Linked DNA regions of Rattus norvegicus. The main gene of each other region encodes a partner of the protein of the gene in region 3 in a complex. Links are inferred from orthologs where the notes say so. Each region holds a gene or a part of one and is shown on either strand. Other genes may lie near its edges. The genes, in order: Crk, Sh3bp1 and Abl1.

What was found.
Region 1: the proteins of Abl1 (region 3) and Crk are in contact, whole or in part, in an NMR structure (PDB 1JU5), measured with the Homo sapiens proteins. The link is inferred for Rattus norvegicus from reciprocal best matches to the Homo sapiens genes ABL1 and CRK. Residues at the interface, in NP_005148.2 of Homo sapiens: Tyr70, Phe72, Asp77, Asn78, Thr79, Asn94, His95, Asn96, Gly97, Glu98, Trp99, Trp110, Pro112, Ser113, Asn114, Tyr115; in NP_058431.2 of Homo sapiens: Pro44, Asp46, Asn63, Gly66, Pro67, Arg68, Pro69, Pro70, Val71, Pro72, Pro73, Ser74, Pro75, Pro80, Gly81, Ser83, Pro84, Ser85.
Region 2: the proteins of Abl1 (region 3) and Sh3bp1 are in contact, whole or in part, in a crystal structure (PDB 1ABO), measured with the Mus musculus proteins. The link is inferred for Rattus norvegicus from reciprocal best matches to the Homo sapiens genes ABL1 and SH3BP1. Residues at the interface, in NP_033724.2 of Mus musculus: Tyr70, Phe72, Ser75, Gly76, Asp77, Thr79, Asn94, Glu98, Trp99, Trp110, Pro112, Asn114, Tyr115; in NP_001303613.1 of Mus musculus: Ala607, Pro608, Thr609, Met610, Pro611, Pro612, Pro613, Leu614, Pro615, Pro616.

Annotation. Positions count from the first base shown.
Region 1 is NC_086028.1:61,024,337-61,033,988, reverse strand, and holds the start of Crk (adapter molecule crk), read right to left. Parts: upstream 5,073-9,652; 5' UTR 5,034-5,072; coding exon 4,793-5,033; intron 1-4,792. UniProt on the Homo sapiens protein: Involved in cell branching and adhesion mediated by BCAR1-CRK-RAPGEF1 signaling and activation of RAP1.
Region 2 is NC_086025.1:112,333,261-112,343,026, forward strand, and holds the start of Sh3bp1 (SH3 domain-binding protein 1), read left to right. Parts: upstream 1-4,997; coding exon 4,998-5,056; intron 5,057-5,096; exon of another isoform or gene 5,097-6,218; coding exon 6,219-6,261; intron 6,262-6,505; coding exon 6,506-6,610; intron 6,611-7,647; coding exon 7,648-7,724; intron 7,725-7,881; coding exon 7,882-7,993; intron 7,994-8,086; coding exon 8,087-8,163; intron 8,164-8,581; coding exon 8,582-8,726; intron 8,727-9,307; coding exon 9,308-9,376; intron 9,377-9,509; coding exon 9,510-9,600; intron 9,601-9,766. UniProt on the Homo sapiens protein: GTPase activating protein (GAP) which specifically converts GTP-bound Rho-type GTPases including RAC1 and CDC42 in their inactive GDP-bound form.
Region 3 is NC_086021.1:35,468,567-35,477,563, forward strand, and holds part of Abl1 (tyrosine-protein kinase ABL1), read left to right. Parts: intron 1-1,270; coding exon 1,271-1,455; intron 1,456-3,853; coding exon 3,854-4,006; intron 4,007-5,539; coding exon 5,540-5,629; intron 5,630-6,124; coding exon 6,125-6,289; intron 6,290-8,997. UniProt on the Homo sapiens protein: Non-receptor tyrosine-protein kinase that plays a role in many key processes linked to cell growth and survival such as cytoskeleton remodeling in response to extracellular stimuli, cell motility and adhesion, receptor endocytosis, autophagy, DNA damage response and apoptosis.

The DNA.
Region 1 (9,652 bases), on a different chromosome or scaffold from region 3:
CCAGGTGTGTAAAGAAACAAATAGAAAGCGCTAGAGGAAGGTGCCAGCCCAACACCCACCTCTAGCCTTCATACCTAGGGGCGCACAGACACGCTACAGACCTAACCCCAAGAAAATTTTACTTCACCCAAAAATCTTTGAACTACACTTTTTGCCAGAGAAGGTACCACAGTATCTCGGTAATCCTAGAAAGCAGAATAGTCTGATTAACTCAAAATTCTCTCCAGGAAATTTACAATTCACAGGAGTGTGGTAAAGCTGTGGCAAGTTCTACAGTTAATAAACTTATTTTATCTTACCATGGGACATCTTTTGTTGTTGTTGCATAAAGTTTCTCAATGATTACTAAAGAACTTCTCTGGAGAGCAGCCGAGCGATGGCTCAGCAGTTAAGAGCACATGCTGCTCTGCAGAGGACCTAGGTGGGTTCAGTTCTCAGCACTCAAAACCAATCCAATTCCAGAGTCTAATGCCCTCTTCTGGCCTCAGCAGGCACTGCATGTACATATATCTACACTTGTAGGCAAAAAACCATATACATAAAATTAAAGAAGAAAATCAAGAAAGAACTTCCCTGGAACCATTACATTTGGAGCATACCCTGACCATCCATCTCCAAAATGAGATAAGATGACCATAGCCAGGACCTTGTAAGCAAACACTGTAAGCTATATCCCCAGCCCAAGTTAAGGTCTGAGACTCACCCACCTACTAGGCAACAGTAACAGCAATCGAAACACTGTAGACCCAAGGTTCTCAACCTCAAGCCCTCTACCCCTTTCTACCCAGCATTACTAAGACACTGTGTGTTTACCAACCACATTGTGCGTGTCGAGAACCTTTCACAGCTGAGAGGCTTTTCCTTCCACTTGAATCATCTTCTAACATCATTATATTCTTAAGATTAAATTTATAACCTGGGTCTTTATGAAATATGCCTGCCACATTCAAGTGTCTTACATATTGCATATGAATCCATTTACTCATTACAATAGCTCACCTTATGAAGTATTGCTATTTTCCAACTTTCACAAATGAAAAAATTGTAGCAAACTTTAAAAAACAAAAATTGGGGGCTGGAGAGATAGCTCTGTGGACAGTTCAAGTCCCAGCAACCACATGGTGGCTCACAACCATCTGATACCCTCTTCTGATGTGTCTGAAGACAGTGACAGTGTACTCATTTACATAAATAAATAACTTTTTAAAAAAAGTGTCCAAAGTTATACAAGTAAGAAGTAGCAGGTGGGGCTGTAGAGATAGTTCAGCAGTCGGGAGCAGCGGCTGTAACTCCAGTACCAAGGATCCAATACCCTGACACAAACATACATGCAGGCAAACCACCAATGCACAACCAGAACTAGAGACCCAGTCTTGAAATTATACATGTGTATTTTCATTCAAGTTTGGATTTTGGCTTCTAATTCCCCGCCCGGCCTGAGAAAATCTAGCTTTATCTCCTAAATGCTGGGATTACAATTGCAGGCCTGTGTCACTAAGCCTGGTCTGTGTGACCTGGGATTGAAACCAGGGCCTTCATTCTTGCTAGAATGAAAATTCTATCAATTGACAGAAGCTGGGTACATCCCAACTTCTCATTCAGTTTAGAGGCCTCTATCAGTCAAAGTCTAGTCCTCGATCATTTCAAGTGGAGGAAATTAGTGGATCAATTCTCCCAAGTCTTCTCTTTGAAGCCCACCTTGCAGAACATGACCAGTAAACTCCAACAGACTTCCCCCTATAGCTCTGGGGCACAGTAAAGACGTTCCTAGGCCATCATCATAGCTTAGATCATCTGTGGGAGCTAAACATCTATGCTAGGTTCAAATAGGGTCATTGAGCTGGGCCGATGGCTCATCCTAACAGGGAGACAAAGGCAGGAGAAATTAGCCTGGTTTGGGGGCTGGAGAGATGGCTCAGAGGTTGAACACACTGACTATGCTTCCAAAGGTCCTGAGTTCAATTCCCAGCAACCACATGGTGCCTCACTACCATCTATAATGTGATCTAGGCACACTCTTCTGTCATGTAGGCAAAACACTGTACATAATAAATAAATCTTTAAAAAGAAAGAAATTAGCCTGGTCTACACAGAGAGTCCCATGTCAGGACTACAAAAAGATTCTATCTCAAAAAATAAGTGGGATAATGCAACAATCCCTGGCCTGTCTTACCCACATGCCTCTACAGTGTGTGCACACAAGTGTAATCAGTTCTAGGCCAGCCAGAACTACAGTATGTGCATGACTGATGTGAGTCTGTGGAAGTCAGGACAACTCTGAGGTGTTCCTTCTCTTATCCAACCCCGGGATTGAGGATCAAACAAGACCCTCAAGCTGGCAAAGCTGTGCTTTTGCCTACTGAGCCACTCTGCGGGATCTCAGAGCACTCAGATGGCAGAAGCAAGAATTCTCCTGAGTTCAAAGCCAGCCTAGTTTATATGGTTGCAGACCAGCTAGGGCTGCAGAGTGAAACCCTGTTTCAAAACAAAAGAATGGAGTTCCCTATGTGCACCCCAGGGATTCCAAAGCAAATAAACAAAGAATACCAAAATTATACAATAGTCAGTTCTCAGGTCACACTGTCTAGTTCAAATTCTGGTTTATATGCTAAATGTTACAGGTTACTGGATTTCTAGTTCTTCTCCCCACCTCCAAATGAAAATGTTTTAATAAATGGAGATTGCAGAATTTCACTCATTGGATTGTTTTACTGATGGTGAATTATATAAGGCACATTTAGCAAAGCATGTAGCATACAATAGTCAGTCAATAAGTGTAAACTATTAAAATTATATATGTCTCTCTAAAACTCAAGTAATTCCTGTGTGGCTTCAAAAGAAAAACAGTTTAATGGATGGCAGAACAGCGATTAAGTGACCATCATAAAGACAGCAAGTGAATTGAGTGTCCTACAGAGAAAATGGGGAACACGACAGAACAAATTGCCACAAAGCCAATGAACTTTCCACACCTAACCCACAAACTGGCAATCTTCTCCTCTCCTAGGCCAAACACCTATTTTGAAAAGGTGGAGCTACCGAGATATAAAACCACAAGCCTGCCTGATGCTAGTCCCACATTTTCAAACAAGGAGAAAACTGAGGACCGAGTCCCTCACCCCCAGCTATTGGGAATAAAACCTAGCCTCCCCAAATGTCAGGCAAATAAACTACCACTCAACTATATCCCTAGTCACACCCCCTAACATAACTTTTTATTTTGAGGCAGAATCTTGCTAAGTTTCCCAGATGACCTGGAACTTGTAAAATCTTGCCTCAGCCTCCTAGGTGCTGGGATTAAAAGCATGAATTATGAAACTTGGCTGAGAATTGAATTTCAACAATAACATTTCATCTTACTACTGCCCTTAACACAAAACAACAGATTATTTTACAGATAGCACAAAAATAGAATTTACTATGTTTAGGGCAATTGTGTTGTATCTGATTTTATATTATTAAACCAACAGACACAAAAAGACTAAGAAGACTTCAGTACTCAAATTTTCCCCTTACTTGTGTGCCAACACCAAGAACTGTTTATCCCACCTCTACCTCCTCATTTGTGGCCAAAGGGAGTAAGTCTAAATTAGGATGATCCTAAAAGGAGGTCTACTAAACGGCTAACCAGGGAGTCTCCATTCATGAGATTAGCTCAGCTCTAGGAGGAACAAGCTTGCACTTCAAACATCCAGAAAGCAAGAAGCTTGGTGCCAACACACAGAGACAACAGTAATCTCAGAATCACTGTGCATCTCACAAACTTCAAGGACGAAGTGCATGAATTTCCTTAACATTGCCAAGACAACTGCAATAATACAGCTGAGACAATTACAACTCAATGGTCCTCGATGAGGAAAACACAGCGGGATAATTATTCTTGGTGTATCTGCCAGCTAGGTCTGCTCTCATATCCTGGAAGATTTTGACCACAGCACCAACTTAGCAAGAAAAGACCCAGAAGTACGTTGACTGACACTGTTTAAGCCCAGGAAGAATGAAATTCCATTCACTTCCAAGGTTGTTCTCCCTGGCCTATGCTTGGTTTATTTCCTAAAGGAAAAAAAAAACCTTCCTCCACTAATCACTTTGAAACTAGAAACTCTACGTGCAGCGGGCAGTCTTTTGGACACTTAAAACCTCTTGGACACAATTTGCCAGCTAGGCTTCAATTACGCTGGGCTGGTCACAGAAAGCTTTTTTTCTATTACCAAGTCACTTAGTTCACCACCTTCCACAAGGGAAGAGCACGGTAAAAAGATTTTGGAAAAATGCCCAAGAAAGGAAAAAGCTGACCGGCTTCCTGAGGGTGTCTCCATCCCTCCCAGCCAGCCAAGTACGTGGTGACTTCCTACCGAAGGCCACCAGGGGAGTATGGCCAAACCCAGCTCTAACACTGCAGGAAACGTTTCAAGCCTAAAAGCCACTTGTAGGATTAGCAGATCCATTCTGGGCATCTCTGCCAAATGATGTCCCCGCAACATCCCCATTAACTCTTTGTCCCCAAGTTGCCTGGCCCTGCCCTGCCCTGCCCTTGGGCCTGACCCTGGCGCCCAGCCCCACCCCGGGGCCGCAGCAGTTCCCCTTCCCCGGCTCCCAAGGCACACCCAGAGGCCTCGGTGAGCAGCTCCTCCTCCCCCACAATCCCGCTCATCGGTGGGAACCAGCTTGGTCAGAAGGCAGCTCCCCCGCCAGGTTCACTCCAGCCCTCTCTGCCCACGTCCCTCCTGCAGCCGACCAGGGTTCTAGGGCCTTCACCCCCGCCCGGGCCTCCCGCCCGTCTGTCCCTCACCCGGCGGAGGCTGAGCGGGCGACGGAGGCACTGGAGGGCGCGGGCCGCTGCTGTTGATGATGTAGTGGGAGACGCGCGAGTTTTCGGAGACGCTGAGCACATAGTCCCCGGGGCTGGTGCTCGAGTCCCGCACCAGGAAAACCCCGTGCCGCTGGCCCTGCAATAGCGCCACCGCCTCCTGCCGGCTCAAGCGGCCCCAGTACCAGCTACTCCGCTCCTCCGAGTCGAAGTTGCCTGCCATGGCCGCCTCCGCGCCTTCACGCTGGGCCGCCGCCGGCACGCGCGCCCCTCCAGCCCTGGCGCCCGCCGCCCAGCGGACCGGCTCCGGTGTAAGCCTCCCAGCAGCGCCCGAAATGGCGGCGGCAGCCGCGGGCCTTCCCCACCGGAAATGACGCGCTCTCTACCCGAGGGAGGCTGCCGGGAAGGGGACCGCCGCCCGCCATTGGGAGAAGGGAAACGGAGTCCTTGGGGCCCGCAGTGCGCATGCGTCCTCATGGGCGTCGCCGCCCGGTCCAGAACCCCAACGGCGGAGGATGGGGAGGCGGAGTCTAGGTTTAAGGGGCGGAGCCTCAATCTTCAGACTGACTGGTGTTTGACTAACTGGTGTTTGACAGATTGGTAGAGGCGGTCTTTCTCCCAGGACCTACAGGTAGCAGCTCCAGTAAAAGGACTGGAGTAAAAAAGATGATGTGGTCCCAGGATGCCCTCAAAGCTCCCTAACAAGCTGGTCTTTCCCGGTGTTTCCTTCGGTTTCCCCGGAGGTCAGTCGAAGTTCTTGCTATCTAGGAGTAGCCATAGATAACACATTTGCCTTGCAGGTGCAGTACTGACCTAGACTGAGCCTTAAGTCACCGAATTCACAGACCAGTGGGAGGGATCAGGAAACCATTAATGTCTGCTGTGATGGGAAACAGAGACACAAGGAAATCAACTAAGTAATCCTAGAGGAATCCAAGGGCCGGGTAAAGTGACTATGACAGTAATCCCAACCCTTAGGAAACTGAGACAGGAGGATCACTGTGTTTCAGGCCCTATATTATAAAACGAAAGCAAATAAGAACAAGGAGTCCACAGATGAGATGGTGTAGGTTGAATGGTTCGGTGTTGAATGGCAAGTGGGGAAGGGTACTTAAGGCAAAGAAAACAAAATGTCCAGCCAGGCAAAGCAATGGAGTTCTCTCTATGGGAGCTCCCATGTCAACCAGCCAGATCCTTTTAAACTCTCATTTGTAGCCAGAGGAATCTCCTAGTTTCACTTCCTTCATGATCATCATCTATCTCAAAAAAAATTTTTAATGAAAAAATACTGGGGAGTGGGGTGTTCAGGATAGGGTTTCTCTGATAGCTCTTGCTCTCCTGGAACTCACTTTATAGAGCAGGCTGACCTTGAACTCAAAGATCCACCTGCCTCTGCCTCCCCAGTGCTGGGATCAAAGGTATGCACCACCTCTGCCTAGCCACTACTACTGCGTTTTGTATATAGTGAGACCCTGTCTCAAAACAAAACTAAAGTTATCCTTGTCCTAGTCAATAGCTCAGGCCTTCTAGAACTTCCACCCATAGCCTGAGCCAGCCCTGGGAGAGACAGCAGGGGAAAGGGCACCTTCCCTGTTATCAGTGACTCATCTTGGTCTAGCTTAGTCACCGGAACCAGCAGCAGAGGCCATTCAGTGTAAATTCTGGCCCTTTGGGAAAAAGGGCTACCCTTTCTCCCTTTTCAGGACAGCTGAGCTTCAAGGCAAGACCTTAACCAGAGACTCTGGGAAAGTCCAAACCCAGCTCTTAGGATAAGTGAAAAGGAAAGAGAGATTTGTTTTGCTTGCTTGTTTGTTTAAACAAGGTACCACTATGCAGTTCTGGACGGCACATCAGCTTGGCCTCAAACTGGCAGAGACCTGCCTGGCTTTGCCTCCCCAAGAAGAAATATGTATTCATTTACCATTGCATAGTCTTATGTATCTCAGGCTGGCCTCCTTCATGACAGAGCTGTGGATGGCCTTGAACTTCTGATCCTCCTACTGGGATTACTGGTGTGCACCACTATGGCAAAATCTTCTTTGTTTCCCACATTCTTTTATAATTTTTACATTTACTTACTTATGTATTTGTTCATTTGTGTGTGAAGGTCAGAGGACAGTTTGAGGGAATTGGTTCTTTCCTTCTGCCACGTAGGTACCGGGGTTCAAAACTCTGGACCTCAGGCTTGGCAGCAAATCTCTTTACCTGCTGAGCCATCTCACCAGCCCTCCACCTCCTCATTGATTTCATTTCTTTTTTTCTTTTTAGATGGAGGCTCACCTGTTTTGGCCTGGAATTCACTATGTAAACCACACTTGCTAGCCCCAAAGTCATGGAGATCCACCTGCTTCTGCCTCTCAAGTAGAATTAAGGGTCTTAAAGGTGTGTGTCACCACACCTGGCCTTCTTTTTTCTTTGAAAATACTCTTTTCAGAGGCTGGAGAGAAGGCTCAGCAGTTAAGATTTGCTGCTCTTGTAGAGGAACCAGGTTTGAATACAAGCACCCACATGACAATTCATAACTGTCCAAAACTCCATTTCCAGAGTGTCCAGCATACTCTTCTAGACTCCCACAGGTACAAAGACATTCACGCAGGCAAAACACTAGTATATATTGCATAAAATTAAAAAAAATTCTAGGGGCTGGAGAGATGGCTCAGCAGTTAAGAGCACTGACTGCTCTTCCTGAGGTCCTGAGTTCAATTCCCAGCAACCACATGGTGGTTCACAACCATCTGTAATGGGATCCGATGCCCTCTTCTGGTATATCTGAAGACAGCTTCAGTGTACTCATATAAATAAAACAAATCTTTTTAAAAAAAAATTCTAGACAGGGTTTCTCTGTGCAGTCCTGACTGTCCTGGAACTCACTCTCTAAACCAAGCTGGTCTCAAAATCCGAGATCTGCCTGTCTCTGCCTCCCCAGTGCTAGATTAAAGCATATTCCACCACCATTAAATATTTTAATTAACAAAAACAATTAAGCTTTCTCCTAAAGCAAGTGTGTCTGCCCATCTCGGTATCCTTGGCATTCACAGAAGCAGGAAAAGCATTGCAAGTTTGAGGCCAATCTGGTCAACATAGTGAGTTCCAAGCTAGCCAGCCCTAATTATTAAGATTCTGTCTGTAAAAACAACATAAAAAAAAATTACAACTGGGCTCATCACTTAAGAGCAGCTGCTCTAGGGGTTGGGGATTTGGCTCAGCAGTAGAGCTCTTGCCTAGCAAGCGCAAAGCCCTGGGTTCGGTCCCCAGCTCTGAAAAAAAAAAAAAAAAAAAAAAAAGAGCAGCTGCTCTTGCAGAGAATCTGAGGTTTCCATTCTCAACACCCACACAGCAGCTCACAGCCGTCCAACCACTGGGGATTGCAGTTCCCAGGGATCCATTGTCCTCTTCTGACCTCTACAGGCATCGAACTTACATGTGGTACACATACATGCTTGATGGCAAAACACTCAAACACATCTAATAACTGAACTGCAAAATAAACAGGGAAGTTCCATCAGTAGAGGAGACATGGCCTCTCTAGTGTGACCTTCCTCGACACTAAGAATCTGTAACCCCAAAGCCAGCAGGAGTCAGAGGTCACCCAGCAAGGAGAATTTAGCACTCTCATTTGACCCTTAGCCCTTTCTTCCCTCCCCTTCTTTTGTACCTAAGGAGCCAAAGGATTTCAGTCACAATGGTAGGTTTTGCTCCTTGATAAGCCTGAGATGTTCCCCACAAAGGAAATGACCTCCTAAAGAAGGATTCCTGGTGTGGGTTGGGGCCAGGAAGGAAGAGAGGGAACGATCTCCCTGAGAGACACAGATGCAAGGAGAAGAGAAATGGAAGACTCTGTAATCCAAGAGCAAAGTGCATCCAACCCTCCGAGGAGTCTCGACTAAAAGAAAGCCAGCCCTTATTCTAGTGCCAGAGAAGCAGAGAGTAGACAGGACAGTCTGCTTCTCTGTGTGTTCTGTGTCTCCTAAAGTCACCAGAGCTGCATCATAAGCTATGTAACAACTTGGGATGCTCTGCTAATTGTAGTGCTAATTAGAGTGGTTGTGGTAATAGATAACAAGTGTAATGAAGTTAGCGCAACAGACAGTTAAGGCTAAAAAAGTATTAATTCTCAAGGTCAGGAGGAAAAAGTGTGTGTGCTTTCAAATTAAAGTTCTTACTGGCCACGGTAGCACTCAACTTTGGAAGGCAGAGGCAGGTGGGTCTCTGAGTTTGAGGTCAGCCTGTCTAGAGAGTGAGTTCCAGGACAGCCAGGGCTACGGAAAAATCCTGCCTCAAAATAACCAAAAACAAATAAATAAAAAATAAAGTTCTCGGGGTTGGGGATTTAGCTCAGCGGTAGAGCGCTTGCCTAGCGAGCACAAGGCCCTGGGTTCGGTCCCCAGCTCCGAAAAAAAGAAAATAAATAAAGAAAGAAAGAAAGAAAGAAAGAAAGAAAGTTCTTGGGCTAGAGAAATGGCTCAGTGGTTAAGAGCACCGACCGCCCTTTCAGAGGTCCTGAGTTCAGTTCTCAGCAACCACACAGTGGTGGCTCACAGCCATCTGTAATGAGATTCAGTGGCCTCTTCTGGTGTGCCAGCAATAGTGTACTCATATACGTAAAATAAATAAATGCATCTTTTTTTAAAGCACTCTAAAGTAAGCTGTGCATAGTGGTTTTAATCCCAGTACTCAGGAGACCCAGGCAAGTGGATCTTTGTGAGTCTGAGGCCAGCCCAGAATATACATTGTGTTTCAGGACAGCCAAGGCTATGTAGAACTTCTGAACCAAGAAAAAGTGATGTCCCATCCACCAAGTTGGTCTTCATGGTTTACAATGATTCCTCTTTAACTTCTCTC
Region 2 (9,766 bases), on a different chromosome or scaffold from region 3:
CACCCACCCTCTCTCCCCATCACAGCACCTGTCCTAGCACCCACCCTCTCTCCCCATCACAGCACCTGTCCTAGCACCCACCCTCTCTCCCCATCACAGCACCTGTCCTAGCACTCGCCCTCTCCCCATCACAGCACCTGTCCTAGCACGCACCCTCTCTCCCCATCACAGCACCTGTCCTAGCACCCGCCCTCTCTCCCCAACACAGCACCTGTCCTAGCACTCGCCCTCTCCCCATCACAGCACCTGTCCTAGCACCCACCCTCTCTCCCCATCACAGCACCTGTCCTAGCACCCGCCCTCTCTCCCCATCACAGCACCTGTCCTAGCACTCGCCCTCTCCCCATCACAGCACCTGTCCTAGCACGCACCCTCTCTCCCCATCACAGCACCTGTCCTAGCACCCGCCCTCTCTCCCCAACACAGCACCTGTCCTAGCACCCGCCCTCTCTCAAAACGGCCTCAAGTTCCCACCTGGGGCCTCGGAAATGTGTCTCCAGTAGAATTTGTTAGGCCACTGGATAGGCGAGGTTTGCCCTGGGGCTGTGGGACCATGAACTGGGAGAGTCCCATGAATTGTGTGTGCTGGTTCCAAAGTCAGTGGCTTGCTCTCCCTTTCTAGATTCCTAGTTTGAAAAGGCCACAGGGTTGGTACCCAGGGAGCCACCTCTCCTCTGGCTTTGCCCTCATCAATCTCTATGCACATCTCCTGAGCCAGGCACGGCCCAGGTAGAAACCTGGGAGACTGAAGCCCACCCAGTATTGCACTCTTGGGGAGCTGGGGAACAAAGGGTGTCCCTGGAGCCTGCACCTGTCTTAGCATGGGTACCCTGGGAAGTATTGTCTCTGTCTTACATGAGGAACCCCAGGACCACACCAGAGCAGTGGGGCTTCCCAGACCTCAAAGCCACACTTCCATTTCTGGGACACTGATGAGAGTTCATTTTGCAGTAACCACAGGGCAGGCCGCTCATCTGTTAGCAGAAGTCAAGTGAAGCAGAGGAGCTCTGTTACCCTGGGACACCTTCTGTGACCTCTACTACCCGTAGGGCAGCCAAGGGAAGGCACCCACCCTGGCATGCTTCAGGGCCTGCTGCCAGTAGTCTCCCCCTCCCCAAGTCCTCAGAATTGTCCTGTGAGCAGGAGACTGGACCAGCTGTCTAGAGGGAGTAGACATCAAGATGGCAGACTGTCCTAGCCACTTGAGCCTGCTCTCCAGTTTCGTCAACTGGCCTGCTTTGCTCCCAGCTGGGACCAAGAGCACATATTCTCCCAGGGCTAGCAGCAGCAGGAGGGAGTCCTGCTTCAGCTCCACCCCAGGGTTCCTTGAAGCCTTTTGAACTGTGGAAGTAGGGGTGGGCAAGGAAGTCACCAAAGCCCCAGGAAAACACACCTTGCCTGGCTGCTGTGGGCAGAAACCAATTGGAGGCTTTCGAGTATAGCCACAGTCAAGCTGTGTGGCAGCGGCTCAACTAGTAGAATGAAGCCAACGACCTCCACCCCGGCCTGCCTACCAGCTGCCCTGACCACATCCGCCCAAGTCACATTAGCAGATGCCACCCAGAGTGTCATAGGGATTGCCGGCAAATCTGTGTGAAGACTGGTCAGTTCCTCAGTGGCCATCAGGAAGGCAGGAGCAAGGGCCAGCCTTGAAGGAGTTTCTAGGCAACAGTGTACACAGCAGAAAGACAGCAATAATGCTTCCTAGGACGTCGGTCTGCCTTCTGACCTGGCCTCTACTGCACAGTCAGTGGGGTGTGCACATCTGCCAAAAGGAGGCAAAGATACCGACCTTAGGGAAGAATGACCCAAGGGACACATCAGTAAATTCTGGCCTAAGGCAGCCATACAAATGTCAAGGGCAACTAAGGCAGGGGTAGTCAAAGCTCTTCTCTCCGTCAGGAAGACATTTGAAAAATAACAGCAGACAATGCCAGGCACTTTTCTGAGAATTTTACACGCTAATTCCTGTAATCCTATTAAGTTATGTTGTTTGTGGCTGAGGGGTGAGCTTTCTTATCCAAGGTCTTTCAGTTTGTGTGCTGATGAGAAAACCCCCCCTGCCCCACACCCCAAGCCAAATGGCTGTTCTTTGGGGATGCAGGTAATCACAGATCTGATACCGTGAGCCCCAGAGGCTGAGATAGATAAACAGGCTCATAGTTTAGGGAAGGGCCCAGGGAGGGGTTGGCTAGTGACCTCTGAGGTACTTTTGTGCAGTTCTAAAGTCCATGGTCCTTTGAGTGGTTCTTGGCCATATATAACTATAATATCTACTACTGGAGAGACAAGAGCACCACAAGTTCAAGACTAGTTGGACAACTTTGTGGGACTGGCTCAAAAAAAATAAAAAAGGGGGCTGGCAAAACAGCTCAGTGCGTGAAGGTTCTGCCATCATGCATGAGAACCTGAGTTTGAACCCCAACGTGGTGGAAGGAGAGAGAGAACTGACTCCCATCCATTGTCCTCCGACTGCCCTACGAGAGTTGTGATGTTTACACACATGTGTGCACACGCACGCAGTCAATAAAAATTGTGATGGAGCTAGAGAGCTGGCTCAGAGATTAATTTAAGGCTGCCCTTCTAGAGAACGAGGTTCGATTCCCAGCACCCCCATGGTGGTTCACAATAATCTGTCCTCCACTGCATCTCATGGTTCAAAGACACACATGCAGGCAAAACACGTGTATGCATAAAATTAAACTTTAAAAAAATTTAAATTTACTAATCAAAGCTTCTGATTACAACATTCTTTGACGGAATCGCCTGTGATCCAACCTTCAGGGCTTCCAACCCTCAATGATTCAACACCAAGGTCACCCAGCCAAGAAGTACAGCAACTCTATCTGCTCAGATCCAGAAGGTCCCCAGGTCTGGCTGCAGAGAAAGCCAGAACTGGAGACAGGAGGGAGGGGCTAGCAAGGGCTTGGATGGGCTGGTAATACACTCTGGTCATTTCCAAAAGACAGAAAAGAAACCTGCTATTTCAGCCCAGGGAGCTGTCCCCTCCCCAGGCTAGTTAGTACTAGGCCTGGACGAGCCTAGGAGGCATAGAGTATAAGCCAGGCCAACCTAGTGGTACCTTCCCGACCAGCCGACCAGCCATGGACATGAAGGCAGAAGCACCAGAGATCAGAGACTTCCCTAGAGGCGAGAAAGTGCTTCCTGGAGCTGGACTCATCAGCTTCCTAAGCCTCACCCAGTAGAATGTACCCATTGCCAAGGGAGGGAAAACTGAAACGGAAAGAATGTTTTAGGTAGGACCTGGATGATGGGGGGGTGGGGGAAAGGCTAGGACTAGAAGCAAGATATCTCAAGTCTTTACACATTAGGAGGCCAGCAGCTCTAGACCACTCTAGTATCCCCCCAAGGCTGGCCCCTCTCTGGAATCTTCTGCCATCTCTTCTCCAAACACTGGCCAGCAGCCTTCTTCTCATTAGTAAATGAAAGGTAAGGAGTCTGTGCTGCGGTCTCAACTCCCCACCGCAGAGCCAGGATTCCACTGCTGAGGAGCTGTTCCTGGCTGGGATGTTCTGGTTCTTGCCGCTGGCTTCCCCAGTCTCCATAGGACTTTTTTTTTTTTTTTTCCCGGAGCTGGGGACCGAACCCAGGGCCTTGCTAGTCAAGCGCTCTACCACTGAGCTAAATCCCCAACCCCCAGGACTTTTTTTTTTCTTTCTTTCTTTCTTTTTTTCCAGAGCTGAGGACGGGACCCAGGGCCTTGCGCTTCCTAGGCAAGCGCTCTACCATTGAGCTAAATCCCCAGCCCCTCCGTAGGGCTTCTTCTTAAATGAGTAAAGTGGCTGCCTGCTCCCAGTGAGTGCCTGTGCTGAGTACAAGATGTCTTGGGCAAAGGGAATGTCTTCAAGAAGCACACCAACTGTCTACCCCCACACAGTAGGTGCTCAAGTGGTGCCGGCTCTGAACTGAAACTAACCGAGCAGAGCAAAGCTCAGTGTGGTGTTCAGGGCTTCCTGTAGCTGCCCCTCCCCCTCCCCAAGCCTGAAGGGTGTACACTAGAGTCAGCTTACTATTGCCTACGGGCTCTCTGGCCCTGTAGTTATGAACACCTAATGTATGCCCAGGCTGGTTTTCAGCCGAGTATTTCGACGAGAAAACTTCTATCTGGTTTGGGGGCTCAGAGCAGCACCCATAGTAAGGCCTGACAAGAAGGAAGGGCAGGGACCAGGGACATTTGCTAGAAGAAATGAGAGTTATGCAGATAGAAGAAGCTGTCCAAGCTCAGGACCCTTAAAGTGTGGAGCGGAGACAGGAGTTCTAGGGCTGAGGAGCAGGCTGGGGTATCTTGTTTACCCTGTGGCATAGACTGGTCCAGGGCAGTTGTCCTATCGAGCCACTATACACAGTGAATGTAGAACTTTGGACATTAGTCCCTGGTGGTCCCCAGGTACCCCAAGTTCCCAGTCAGTTTTCCAGCAGGCATGAGGGATGGTCAGGGAATGGTATGGTGGAGAAGTCTCCAAGGAGCATCTCCTAGTGACTGGCCTGCACAGGTTCCTGAAGGCCTGTCTCTGGCCTGTCCCTTCTAGGCAGCCTTTTTTTCCCTTTAAGAGAGCAAAGGTTGTTTATACCCAGGGCGGTGGTGGCAGGAGCAGCTTACCTGCTTCCCGCCACCCGCCGCGGCGACCGGGCAGGGTGCGGGAAGGAAGAGCCCGCACTCAACTGTGGACCGCAGAGAGACAGACCGGCGGACACTCGGCAGGAGAACGGCCCGGGGGTCGTTGTGGCCCGGAAGCAGTGAGAGAGCGAGACTCCAAACTTGGAGAAAGGAGTGACCTGGGGTCCGGGGGCGGAGTCGTGAGCGGGGGAGGAGAGCGCCCGCGCCAGCGCCAGCACCAGCCGGAGGAGCGCGCCGGCCCAGGAAGCCAGAGCGCCGCCCACCCATCCGGGGCGAAGCGCGCGGGGAAGCAGGCTGGGCCGGGGGCTGCCAGCCTCAACCCCTTAGGTGACTCCTCGGCTCCCAGCCCGGACCCAAGATGATGAAGAGGCAGCTGCACCGCATGCGGCAGCTGGCCCACACGGGCAGCTCGGGACGGTGAGTGTCACCCGCTTCTAGCTGTGCTGTCGTCTCGCAGGACCTGAGCGGGCGCTGGAGAGTGGGGAACCGGTCAAAGAGGTCGAAGACATCTGGATAGCGGCCCTTCGGCATTCCAGAGCCCTGACCTGGCTCCCTGGGGTCTGAAGCCACTGTGGTCGTACAGGCTTAGCTGGCTTTTGCAGGAGGTTGGGGGGTTGGGGGGGGCACCTCCATTCCTGATTGAAGAGGCTGCAGAGAGCAGAGAGCAGAATGCGCCCTGAGCCAGGACTCTGCCTGGAACCTCATTTGTCCCCTCTGGACAATGGGAACAATTAACCACCTCTAACTGGAGGGAAGGGGAGGAATGGAGCGAATCGGGGGCGCCCCAGACCCTGGGGGAAGGGACTGGCAGTGTTCTGGCTTGGGGAGGTGGGGCCTGCTCTGCTTTGGGTGTCCGTCCCCTCCCCCAGCCCAGGGGCCTCCTGCCTTTTGGTCCTGCTTCTGCTTTCGCAGGCTCAGGTAGAGACACCGCTTGGTCTTCTCGGTTCCCAGCTCCACAACTATGGGAGCGGAAGTTTGGGGAGTTTCTCGGAGCTTTTCTTTCTGTCCCTCTTCCCCAGCCTGGGAGTTCCCCATTCTTTGGGCCCAGAGAGGTGACTGTGTATCCAGAAACTTGATAGTCCTACAGTGACACAAATACTTACATGTACCTACGGAAGCCAAGCCACTTTGCCCTGAACCTATGTCCCTATGTATCTTTGGGCAGAGTCCCTGGACCTGCCCACAGCCGCAGTTCAATGTCGTGTGCCTGTGGGCCTGGCCACCCCGAGACCAGCTTCCACACTTCCCGTTCTGGGGGCCAGCTTAGGCCTCCTCTTTCCGGGCCAGGCAAACAATTTGGGGGATGGGAAGATGAGAAACTTTTCCTCTGTCCCAAAGTTGGGCCTTGGGTAGCTCCCTCCTGCCTTTTTGGTGTCATGGGTCCACCCTCTCTCAGGACACAGCCCTGGGTGGAGGAGGAAGCAGGCATGGAATGTGCCCCAGCTCCCATGTGGATGGGCCACCCAGGCTTGGCGGGTCCTGGAAGCAACTTGGGCTCAGGTTCCATATGCAGGGGATAGAGGGAGGCAGTGGGTATCCTAACCCAGACTGACTCAGCAGAAGCCCCCTTCCCCCACAGCACCCCTGAGACTGCCGAGTTCTTGGGTGAGGACCTGCTGCAGGTACGTGCCTGGGCGGGCTGGGCTGGGAGGCAGGTCCGTGCAAGCTGTCAGTATAGAGGCTGGCAGGCAGGGACAGCAGTCAAGGGCCTGGTTGTGTCATTCCTTGCTGGCCAGGGGAGGGGGGGTGGGGGGTGGGGGGTGGGACAGGGGAAAGGGGTCCTTGTTCTGGTGGAGAAAACAGAGCAATGAGAGAGGGTCCCTCACAATATACAGCCCCCACATGTCCCTCCCCTGTACCTCCCAGGTAGAGCAGCGGTTGGAACCAGCTAAGCGAGCAGCCCACAATGTTCACAAAAGGCTGCAGGCCTGTCTGCAGGGCCAAAGCGGGGCTGACATGGACAAGCGGGTGGTAAGTGGGATCTCCGGGAGGAAGAGACCTGTGAGGTGAAGGACGGGGTGGGAATGAGGCGCTCTGGGTGCTCTGTGGCGTCTGAGCTTTGCTCCCAGCTAGTACGCCCCCCAAGTGGTCTAGGTGGGCGGAACACCATCTGAACTGGATGGAGGATGCTCACTGCTACCCAGCAGGCAGCGTTTTCTGACTCCTGCTACTCCCGTTGCTAAGACTGCCAATGCATTGTCTCCCCACTGCTGGCAACGGCCCTGGCGACACCCCCTTGTACAAGTCACCTGTGTATAATGGGAAACCGAGATCTAAACTTAGCAGCCCAAGATCACACAGGTGGCAAGTCACAAAAGTGGCCCTGGGGTCCCTCTGATTGTAAATGTAGTGTTTTCTATAACTCCTGGCGGAAGTCCGGGGATAGTTAAAAATTCACGTGGCCGGAGCTGGAGGATCCTCTCAGCAAAGCACTTGCTCTTGGAGAGACCTGGGTTCAGTTCCTATCACCCACGAGATTCACCACTGTACAGTCGCAGGGACTCCGACATGCTCTCTAGTCTGCTAAGAACACCAAGCATGCCTGCCCCCTCCCTGCTGCCCCAGAAGAGGGTCTGGGTGTGAGGCAATAGATACCTTGGGGAGCTTGGGCTACAGAATAATCGGATTAACCACCTAGGCCATAAGGCTGGGAAAGGAGGTTAGGCCATCCCACCCTAGCCACAAGACCAGCTCTTTGCAGGGGTGTAACCTTGGGACAGCTTACTACTCCCTCCCTCTGCGTAGTCTAGTCTCCCTGGGATTGCTCATTCCTTCTTGTCCAGTCAAGTAGCTTCTAGAAGGGAAAGAGGGAGGGATCCCAGGTCTGTGTGAGATGTGTGCATGAGTTGGGGGGGCACACCATCATCATCCAGTTTCCCCCTATGAATGTGGGTCTGTTCAGTTGGCTCTTCCCTCTGCTGATGTATGGGTTTGGCTGGGTGCTGTGGGCTCAGGTAAGGTGGAGGAAACTCGCAAACTCAGGCTCACTCACCCTTCCCTCCCTGCAGAAGAAGCTTCCCCTCATGGCTCTTTCTACCGCAATGGCTGAAAGCTTCAAGGAGTTGGATCCCGATTCCAGCATGGGGTGAGCATAGTTGGGGCCTGGCTCTTCACTAAAGAATGCCAGGAAGCAATGAGGGGGTCAGATCAGCCAGGGTGTCTACCTGGCTGGGTAGGATGGATGACCAAGCTGGGGTGAGGGACCAAGGGAGCCTTGGCCCACTGGGAATCTCTGTCCACAGGAAAGCCTTAGAGATGAGCTGTGCCATCCAGAACCAGCTGGCCAGAATCCTAGCAGAGTTTGAGATGACCCTGGAGAGAGATGTCCTGCAGCCGCTCAACAGGCTGAGCGAGGTGACTGTGCACCCCCACGCTCCCAGCTTCCCCAGCTTCCTGCTGTCCCTGCCCCCACCAGACCCCCTGAGCCCTCCCTGTGCCTGCCCTCAGGAGGAGCTGCCTGCCATCCTCAAGCGCAAGAAGAGCCTTCAGAAGCTGGTGTCTGACTGGAACACCCTCAAAAGCAGGTGGGCACCTGAGTCTAGGTCAAGTCATAGGTCGAGGGTTCTGCAGGCCCCGCTGGGTCCTTGTGGCCATGCTGGTCCTTGAGAACACATGTGGTAAAGGCATGTGTATGTGAAGGTGTGCATATGTTCCCTTGTGCCACAGGTGACCCCAAACCAGGAAAACCACTAGTCTCCAAGATCCCTAGATGGTTCTAGAGCTCCCTCCTATTCTGTATTCTGGAGCCAAGTAGTTGCGATCACCAGGACCACCACCAGAAGGAGGCCTAGAGCACTTTGGCCTAGTCTGGGCAGAGGCCCAAGGAATTTCTATTTTGCCTCTGTAAACCCTAGAGTCCTGTGTGATTACGTGTATGGAGGGGACACTTAGCTCTGGCCCTGCAATGGGGCCAGTGACCACCCACTTTGGGACCCTCCCCAGGCTCAGCCAGGCAGCCAAGAACTCGGGAAGCAGCCAAAGCCTGGGTGGTGGCTCAAGCAGTCACACCCACATGGCCACTGCCAACAAGGTGGAGACGCTGAAGGAAGACGAGGAGGAGCTGAAGAGAAAGGTGGAACAGTGCAAGGTGAGATGATTTGGGATGTCTGCATAGACGACAGGTGTGGGTCCATTTTACCGACGGGAACATTGAAGTGTGCGGGCAGCACTGTGGGTTTTTTTTTTTTTTTTGTTTTTTGTTTTTTGTTTTCTTTTTTTCGGAGCTGGGGACCGAACCCAGGGCCTTGCGCTTGCTAGGCAAGCGCTCTACCGCTGAGCTAAATCCCCAACCCCAGCACTGTGTTTTAAACCCAGGTAGAATTTATGTAGTGGGGCACCACCCAGGACCTCTGCTATATTTATCGTGTATGTTAACAGCTGGGATGTGGTTGTTCACTGGATGCTTAACGTTGAATGAATGAATGAATGAATGAATGAATGAATGAATGAATGAGTGGTGTTTGCTGAGTGAATGAATAGTATTTGTAGGATGAATGATTGTTGGGTGTTTTTGCTGGGTAAGATAATGAATGAATGAGTGAGCAGTGTTTGCTGAGTAATGAGTGAATGATGTTCATGGAGTAAAGCAAGAATGAATGAATGAATGAATGATTGCATGGCGAGCACAGGATTCCCCGCCTCACCCATCCTCTCCCTTCTGTCCTCAAGGATGAGTACCTGGCTGATCTCTACCACTTCTCCACCAAGGAGGACTCATATGCCAACTACTTTACTCATGTGAGTCCATGGTCCAGTTCCAGCCACCAGCACCGCTGGGGGCCTCCGAGAGATGGCGGGTGTCTGTTCTGGAGACGCTGGGAAAGTCTCCACTTTTCTCACTGGTCCTGGGGGATGGCCTTTGTCTCCACAGCTCCTGGAGATTCAGGCTGACTACCATCGCAAGTCACTAACCTCCCTTGACACGGCCCTAGCTGAGCTGAGGGACAACCACAGCCAAGCAGGTGGGGACATGAATGAACCAGCCTCACCTCTGACCTTACAATGCTAAACGTTTGCTCCTTACTAGGCAGAGTGACAAACACTTTAATCTGGGGCACTTGGGTGGTGGAGACAGGTGGATCTCTGAGTTTGAAGTCAGCCTAGTCTACATAGAGAGTTCCAGGAGAC
Region 3 (8,997 bases):
TCCCCAGGGAAGAGTGTTTCATTTCTGAGCCATTGTGGATTTAGTGGAATATGAAATGAAATTCGTAGAAGACCTTCTTCCTGGTAATTTTGGCTCCCTCTGAAACCAGGCATTCCTGAGGCCAGCGCTCGGTCACTCATGACCTCTCTCTGCCTCGGCTTAGCTTCATTGTGTGGCTTTTCCTCCTCCCGTTGTGTTTCCTTGTCCACCAGCTGTCACTGGGCTTTGGGATGGCTCCATGGCTGGAGAATTATATACATGCAAGCCCGTTGCTGTTTTTAAAACCCAGAGTGTTTTGACCTTCAAGTGTACCACAATTATCTGGGTTTGCATGCTTTGCTGGTGGAAGTGGCTTCCTAGCAGAGTGACAACCTGTGCAGGAGGGAGCCTGAGGGAGCCTGATGGGCTTGGCCCAACTCCGTCATGCAAGATGTTCTCCACGCCACTGTGGTGACCTTTCCTACCCAATTAACTCAAGTGTGAAACCTCGACATGAGATTTCATGGCCAGGAATAAGTAGCATGTGTGAAATGCTGGCAGCCCCTCGGAAGACAGATCTTTTTCTGCTCCACGAGAGCCCAATCCAAATGCTCCTGTCGCTCAGCAAAGTGTAGCCTCTGATGCTGCAAATTGAGATTTCCTGACTTCTGGCTCGCCTTGCATGGCCAGCCCCGTTCCCCTTCCATTCACACACTAAAATGCCTTCCCAAAATCCTATTAGGCACAACGCTGTGTGTTTCATTTCTCTCCCGCTGCTGGTGATCAATCTGTAGCATGCAGTCATTGCCCGAGCTCCCTCATCCTCTCATTCCTCCGTTCCCATTTGCCTCAGGATTTCATGGTTAACATCCATGAACCAGAGATTAGACCCTTCCTCTCTTGGAGATTCAGGAGGTGATTATACAGGAGAGTTTCTCAAACACACTGGAGTCTGCATCAGGAAGCAAGAGGAAAGTAGGGATACCACAGCTGCCCAAGGCACGCTTGGTTACCGTCTTCGTGTCATGGATGAGGTAGCCAAGTTCCAAGGTAATTAACAGGCTCCAGGTCGTGGGGCAGAACTGCCCCATTTCCACTGTGTCTGCCCTGCCCGTGCTACACAGCCTGACTAGTATTTGCTGAGGAATGGTCGCTCCACGGCAGGGCATTCGGAAGCTTCTGGGGGCCACACTGAATCTTCCTTGTCAGCATCATGCCTGTCAGTAGTAGGGAGCGACACAGGAAGGGTGTCAGCCAGGAGCACCCGCAGATGACCCTTTTCTTTTCTCAGAGACCTTGCTGCCCGGAACTGCCTGGTAGGGGAAAACCACTTGGTGAAGGTGGCTGATTTTGGCCTAAGCAGGTTGATGACAGGGGACACCTACACAGCCCATGCTGGAGCCAAGTTCCCCATCAAGTGGACTGCACCCGAGAGCCTGGCCTATAACAAGTTCTCCATCAAGTCGGACGTCTGGGGTAAGGGCCAGATCCTGGCCAGTCCTGGCCAGGGGACTCCCCTTCTACTTCCTTCACTCTTTACTGCCACACCTCCATCTCTCCTCCATCACCACAGTCTTTCTGGTTTGTTTCTGGCTTATTTTAAACTCCTGTTTGTTCTTTTCTTTAACAAATAAAGCAAAAGCCACTTCTAGAATGATCCAGAATAGCACCACCTTCAGGTCTTCATTCCATATTGCTGCTTGGATTTGATGATGCCAGAGCCCACCCTGGGGCGGCATCCAGAATCATATTCTCTGCAGAAAGCTGGTCACTTTGGCTTGGGCTGTAAACAGGGCACTTCATGTGGAAGTGTCACCTGTTGTTTATTTTCATTTTTAAAGAGCTTCTTTTTGGGGGTTGGGGATTTAGCTCAGTGGTAGAGCCCTTGCCTAGCAAGCGCAGGGCCCTGGGTTCAGTCCTCAGCTCCAAAAAAAAAAAAGAACTTTTTTTTCTGAGATAGGATCTCTCTATACAACTGCAACTGTCCTGGAACTCAATCTGTAGGCAGAAATCCACCTGCCTCCGCCTCTGCCTCTGCCTCCCAAGTGCTAGGATTAAAGGTGTGCTCCACCACTGCCCAGCTTTAAGAACTTTTCATGCCAAGAGTAATCAAAGAAGGTGGAGTTGAGTAGTGAGCCCTGTGCCCCGCCTACTCCCTTTCCTCTTGTTATTTTAAAGCAAACTCCAGACATGATTTTGCACACACACATTTCAGTATTTGCCTCACTTGGGAACCAGACATGCCTCTCTCAATGCATTGATGTGTCCTGTGTGTCTTTATCCTGGGTCTGCCATCACTGATTGTATTTCCCTGCTGGTCATTTATTGATAAACTCTGTCCCTTTTCTTTAGACTGTCTAGATTCTAGACTGTGTTCACTGTGTCTCTGTGCTGTGATCTGGGTCAGGTCTGGTTAGCTGCTGACATTTGAGTTGACTTTTCTTTCATTCAGTACGTTAGCAGAGGCTGATGGGTTGTTTGTTTGTTTGAGGTTTTTTTTTTTTTTTTTTTGTTTTCTTTTGTTTCGGAGCTGGGGACCGAACCCAGGGCCTTGCGCTTGCTAGGCAAGCGCTCTACCACTGAGCTAAATCCCCAACCCCTGAGGCTGATGGTTTTAGGTTGGTTGATCTATGCTTGAGTTTTCTCCCTCTGGTACAGTGATTCTCAACCTGTGGGTCATGACCCTTTTGACAACCTATTTCCAAAAATATTTGCATTATAATCTATAACAATAACAAAATTGTAATTATGAAGTAGCAATGAAAATAATTCGATGCTTGGGGTCACCACACCATGAGGAACCGTATTAAGGGTCCCAGCATCAGGAAGGCTGAGACACCGCTGCACTGGAGGGATACGGTGTAGCAGCAATTGATGGTCAGTGGTATTCTCAACAGGCTGTAGCCATGGAGTATAAAAGGAAAAGCCTCTGTGTCCTTGGTTGTCCAGTGGTAGACTTCGTATAGGAGTGGTGGGTTCAGAAACTGCCTTTCATGTCTCCCACTTTTCCAAGTGCCCTGTGCTGGTGGCAGTTGATTTGCTAGTGTTTTGTGGTGTCACTCTGAGTTCTTTGTTGACACATTCCTGTGTTCCAGTATACTGTGCTTCTTCTCCTCATCTCTGGCCGTCTCCTTCCTTGTCCTTTGACAGTACCCTGTAGTCTTCCACAATATCTGTGCTCCAGGGAACAAGATAGTCCGGGCTTCTTCCCTGTCTTAGGTCTCAATCACCTGTTTTTCTAAGGAATCCTGGTTCTTAGTGGGAAGAAGGATGCCACGACTTTGACAGTTCACAAGATTTTTACAAACTGTTGCAGCTGGAAGGGACCTTGGAAGTAATCTCACCTTCAAACAACCCACGGCCCGACAGGCATGTGGCTACAGTCACAGAGCTATGCTCAGAACATGGCAGCTGACTTAGAGCCCTATGCTGCCTACCCGAGGGGGACCCTGTGCCCCAGGAGGCTCACCTTCCCCTCTCTCCCTTGCATGCTTTAGAGTAGCTTGAGTAAACAGCTTTGCTCTGTCCTACCTCTCCTAGGCTATTACCATGGAGAGCCTGGTAACTGTCAATGCTGGGACTGCTCTGCAGGTCTCTCTGCTGCACAGCGTGGAAAATGCCTGTATGTCCTGTGTGTGTTGGGGGCGGGGTGTGTGTTTGGGTGTTTTGGTATGTATGTGTGTGATATGTCTGTTTGGTTGTGTGCATGCTATGGCACACATGTGACTGTCAGAGCACAACTCTGTGGACAACTTCTCTCCTTCCACCTTTATGCCGGGTTTCAGGATTGAAAGGTCATTAGCTTTGTGCAGATGCTACCTCACTGGCCAATGCTCACACACCCTGATAGTCTTCCTCTCCCTCTTTCTTTCAGCATTTGGAGTATTGCTCTGGGAAATTGCTACCTATGGCATGTCACCTTACCCGGGAATTGACCTGTCTCAGGTTTATGAGCTGCTGGAAAAAGACTACCGCATGGAGCGCCCGGAAGGCTGCCCAGAGAAAGTCTACGAACTCATGCGAGCATGTGAGCCTCCCCAACCCATTCAGCACTACTCTGAGGAAATTGCACAAAGCCATTCCAGTGGGCCCTGGCACTCTGTCCCTGTGTTCCCAAGCCATCCATGCAGTGTGACTTTGAGTCTTCCGTGCGCTTATTCCCAGATGTAGTACCTCTGGGTTGGTTTTGTCTCCCTCTGGGACAGCTAGTTTTGGTTTTTGTTTGGTTTTTGTTTTGGATCAGGGTCTTGAACTATGTAGCCCTGACTACACAGTGACTCTCCTGCTTGAACCACACAAGCTCGAGGACTACAGGTATGAGTCACCATGCCCAGGTCGCTTTAAGTTCTTTAAGCATAGAGAGGGTTAGATGTCAACCTGGGTATTATTAGTACAGATCCCTAGGTCCTGCTTCCAAATACCTGGCTACAAATCGCTCCAGATGATAGAACTCTGGTGTTTGTATTGTGCGAGTGTATGAGCGCATCTGTGTGGTGTGCATGTGTGCACATGGCTGTATCATGTGTTCATGTGATCATTCCCTCACCTTTTTTTCCTAGCATATAGTGCTGCTGTCTGTATACTTAGATCTTCCTCACCATGTTCCCTACCTTCATTAATGCTGCTGTCTAGCATTTCAGTTAACAGTTTGAAGCATCCACTCATATTTTACACACTTGTTTGCTTTAATTATATTTTTATTATTTATTTTGTTTGTTTGTTTATGGGGCATGCATTCTACAGTGTACAGTTTTGAAGAGCTGATTCTCTTTTTCTACTGTGTGGATCCCAGTGGTCAAACTTAGCATCAGTCTTGGCAGAGTGTGCCATTTTGTGGCCCTGTGTTTGCTGCTGCGTATAAGGCAGACACACACGATTAGCCTCGTCTCTACATGTAGCACGATATTCCTAAAAGCTGGGCCGTAGGTCCAAAGAATCTGTGCTGTGATAACAAACCAGTGATGTTGCAGACGGTTGTGAGTCCCATGGGTACTGGGAACTGAACCTGGGTCCTGTGCAAGAGCAGCAAGGCTCTGAGCTGCTGAGCCACCTCTCCAAGCCCTAGTCCTTTTAGTCTCGTTGTCATGCTATTGGTGATACAGGCTGTGGTCTCAGTGCAAGGTAAGCTGAGGCAGGAGTATTGCTTGTCAAACAGCCCAGACAGTAATGAGGTCTAATCTCAAAGAAGCAAGAGAGATGCTCGTCTGTGCTAATGGGGACGGTAGACACTGATAGCATCAGTAAGGATGGTGACCGAGGCAGGCTGTTGCCTTGTTAACTCCCTGTCTATCACTGGGGTTTGGAGAAATGTTTATAGATGTGGTTTTTATTATCGGTGTCTCTGGGATTTTGCAAACAGTATTACTGCCTGTATATGATGTCTTCTTAATTCTTAGTGTCTGTCAGAGGACACAGGAGTTTTTGCCATTAGCCTGTCCCAGCCTCAGCCATCAGCAGGCTTGGAATGCCTCTTTCATGTCCAGACTGCTCCTTGGGTGTGGCTAGTTCTGGTTTGTTAGCGATGCTCTCCGGCTGCTCTGACGTGGCCTTCTCTGTCCAGGTTGGCAGTGGAACCCCTCTGATCGGCCCTCCTTTGCTGAAATCCATCAAGCCTTTGAAACCATGTTCCAGGAGTCCAGCATCTCAGACGGTAACATGCCTCCCAGGGGCCTGCAGTGGGTTGAGGGTTGGGTTGAGGCTGGACAAGCCTTCACTTCAGACCTGGTACCAGACAGCACTCTTCAGAGGCTTTGGTGGTGGCTCTGTGTCTGTCAGGTGCAGGCATGCAGAGTTCTAGAACATGCCAAGAGCTGTTTCTTCTGCTTTGTGTTCCTTTTCTCTAACTGCATAAATCTTAAGAAAAAGAGAATCCCAGGAACTGGAGAGCTAGCATGGTGGCTAAGAGGACTTGGGGTCAGTTCTCAGCACCCAGATGATGGTAACCCACGACACTAGTCACAGAGGATCCATTACCAGCTTCTGGCCTCTGCACCCATGTGGTACACAGACATACCTGCAGGCAAAATGCCATACACATAAAAAAAGTAACTTTAAAATAAATTAGAAAAAGAGCAAAGAAAAAAGAATCCCTTGCAATCTGGCATCTTTGCTGATGACTACTGGGTTATGTTTATGTGGTCCTTAGAGGTGGAGAAGGAGCTGGGGAAACGAGGCATGAGAGGAGCCGCCGGGAGCACCCTGCAGGCCCCAGAGCTGCCCACCAAGACCAGAACCTGCAGGAAAACCGCTGAGCAGAAAGATGCACCTGACGCCCTGGAACTGCTCCACACGAAGGGCCTGGGCGAAAGCGGTACGTCCGCCCTTCCCATCCCTCACCCCTCAAACCAGGCAGGCAAGCAGAAGCCGTCAGTGGGCCTGGCACAGAGGGCATCAGTCCCTCCTCAGTGGTCCAGCCCAGGGAAGAAGATTTGCCTCTTGCCCAGGGGAGCCTTTCAGCAGTTGCTTAGACAAGCTGAAAACTGGGACTCCTGCCAAGAAAGCACATCCACCTTTGCTGTGCTCTTCACAGCCCTGTGGGCATCTTCCAGGGCAGTCACAGCACTAAACAACATGGAGCCCACGGAGCAGTCCGGGCTCAGTCAGCACTGAGTTCCGTGTGGTCTCTAGAAAGGCTGTCTCCGTGAACTGTCTGCAGGCTCAGTTAGGGCACTGGAGCTGGGGAGATCTACAGGGATAGTATGACAAGTGTCTGCAGCTTCTTGCATGCCGGCTGTGCCCTGAGTAAGTGCCAGGACAACAGCATCCGCCTCTCCTGCAGACCCACTAAAGTCAGTTGACCTGGGGGCTGCTCGCCCGTCCCTGAACTCAAAGGGCCCCGAGGGCTCCCATCATGGGCTGATGGGCCGTCGGCCTGGTTGTGTGGGACCAGGCAGGATAAAGTTTGATTCTGCTAGGAATTCATGGGAGGCATTGCTCAGCAGACTCCACAGTTCTGTTGTTTAAACAGTTGTAATTCTAAACCTATACTCCTGCTGATGGTCAAACCTACAGAGCATAAAAGGGCTCTAGGGACTGTCTCAGTCAGGGTCACGATTGCTGCCGGGAAGCGCTATGACTGCAGGATGCAGGAGGAAAGCGGTGGTTCCTTAGCATATGCTTCCACACTACAAGTCATCATCCACTCCAGTAGGACAGGAACTCAGTCAGGGCAGGAACTGGAGCAGGAGCTGATGCAGAGGCCATGGAGGGTGCTGCTTATTGCCTTGCTCCCTGTGGCTTCCTCAGCCTGCTTTCTTATAGAGCCTGTGATCACCATCCTGGGGATGGCCCCACTCACAATGGGCTGGGCCCACCCCATCAGTCACTAATTAAAAAAATGTTCCAGGGTTGGGGATTTAGCTCAGCGGTAGAGCGCTTGCCTAGCGAGCGCAAGGCCCTGGGTTCGGTCCCCAGCTCCGGAAAAAAAAAAAATGTTCCACAGGCTTGTCCATAGCCCAGTCTTATGGAAGGGTGTTCTCATTTGAGGCTCTCTGCTCAGGTGACTGTCACTGTGTCATAAAGCTATCCAGACACAGGTGCTAAAGGAGTGTGTTTGGAAGTTTGCATGCGAGACGAGGGCGTGGCTCAGTGGGAAGTGCTGAGTAGTAGTCAGAGTCACATGTGGAAACACGTCCGAAACTCCCGGTACTCCTCAGAGACAGGAGGGGGCAGCAGGAGACTCCTCAGAAATGTAAGGGCCACTTAGTGTTATACACACAGCAGTAAACGACAGACACACTACCTCAAACAACCTCGGGAGGGAGAACTGATGCCTGCGCTTATCCTCTGACCTCTACAGATATGCTGTGGCATGTGCACACACATGTGTGTCTTAAGAAAGTTTATATAAACAAGAAAGTCCAAATTGTAGAGCCACTGGATCATCTCCCTCCCCTGTGTCGCCTGTGTCAGCTGCAGCACACAAGCTGTGCTGTCTTCCCCATCGGCTGCCATGCTGTCAGGTCATTGGCAGTGGGAAAGAGAAGCTGCTGCAGGAGCATCGACTAGAAAAGGCCAGTGTGGGCTGGAGAGATGGCTCAGCGGTTAAGAGCACTGACTGCTCTTCCAGAGGTCCTGAGTTCAATTCCCAGCAACCACATGGTGGCTCACAACCATCTGTAATGAGATGCTCTCTTCTGAAGTGTCAGAAGAGAACGACAGTGTACTAACATATAAATAAAATAAATAAATTAAAAAAAAAAGAAAAGAAAAAGCCAGTGATGAGAGAGCAGTGATGAGAGAGAGAGAGAGAGAGAGAGAGAGAGAGAGAGAGAGAGAGAGAGGGAGATTGTTCCATCAGTGTCATTACTGAAGTTTTGGGTAGGTCATCTGCTGAGCCAGGAGTGCCCCAAACATTGTGCTCTGGGTGTGGCTCTGTGACCCAGTAGAGACCCAGGTCCTCTGCTTGCCTCATTCTGATGCTCATGTCTACCAGTCTTAGGACAGCTGCACAGTCTACCTCCATCCTGGAGGCTGACAGAAGGAAGCCTTGTACAGTTGGCTGCAGTGCCTGACAGCACAAAGGCTTCTTTTTTGTTTTGTTTTTCAAGACAGGGTTTCTCTGTGTAGCCCTAGCTGACCTGGAACTCTGTAGACTGGGCTGGCCCCAAACTCAGAGATCTGGCTGCCTCTGCCTCCTGAGTGTAGGGTGCAGGCACCTCTGCCCAGCCATGTCCCTCGTGTTTTAAAAATACCCATGTGAAGTTTCGTAAAGGTCATCTTGCCCTGTTGTCACAGCAGCTGATTGTCATGCCCCCGTGGGACAGCTGATGTCTTCCCCTCAGCAGGTCTGACTTGGCATTGTCATTCTGCTGACAGTGGAGGGCTCCACAGCTTTAACAGGCTTCAGGATGAGGAAGGCAGGGTCATTCCAGCCCTTGACCCTCTGGGTTCAGGGAGAGAGACTTTTACTTCTACTGACGGTGACAGGGGTCATCATGATATCGATGACAAGGCCGAGCCGTGAGGAGTGCCACAGCTGTGTCTTCCGCCCTCCAGTGGTGCTGAGCTCCGAGCTGC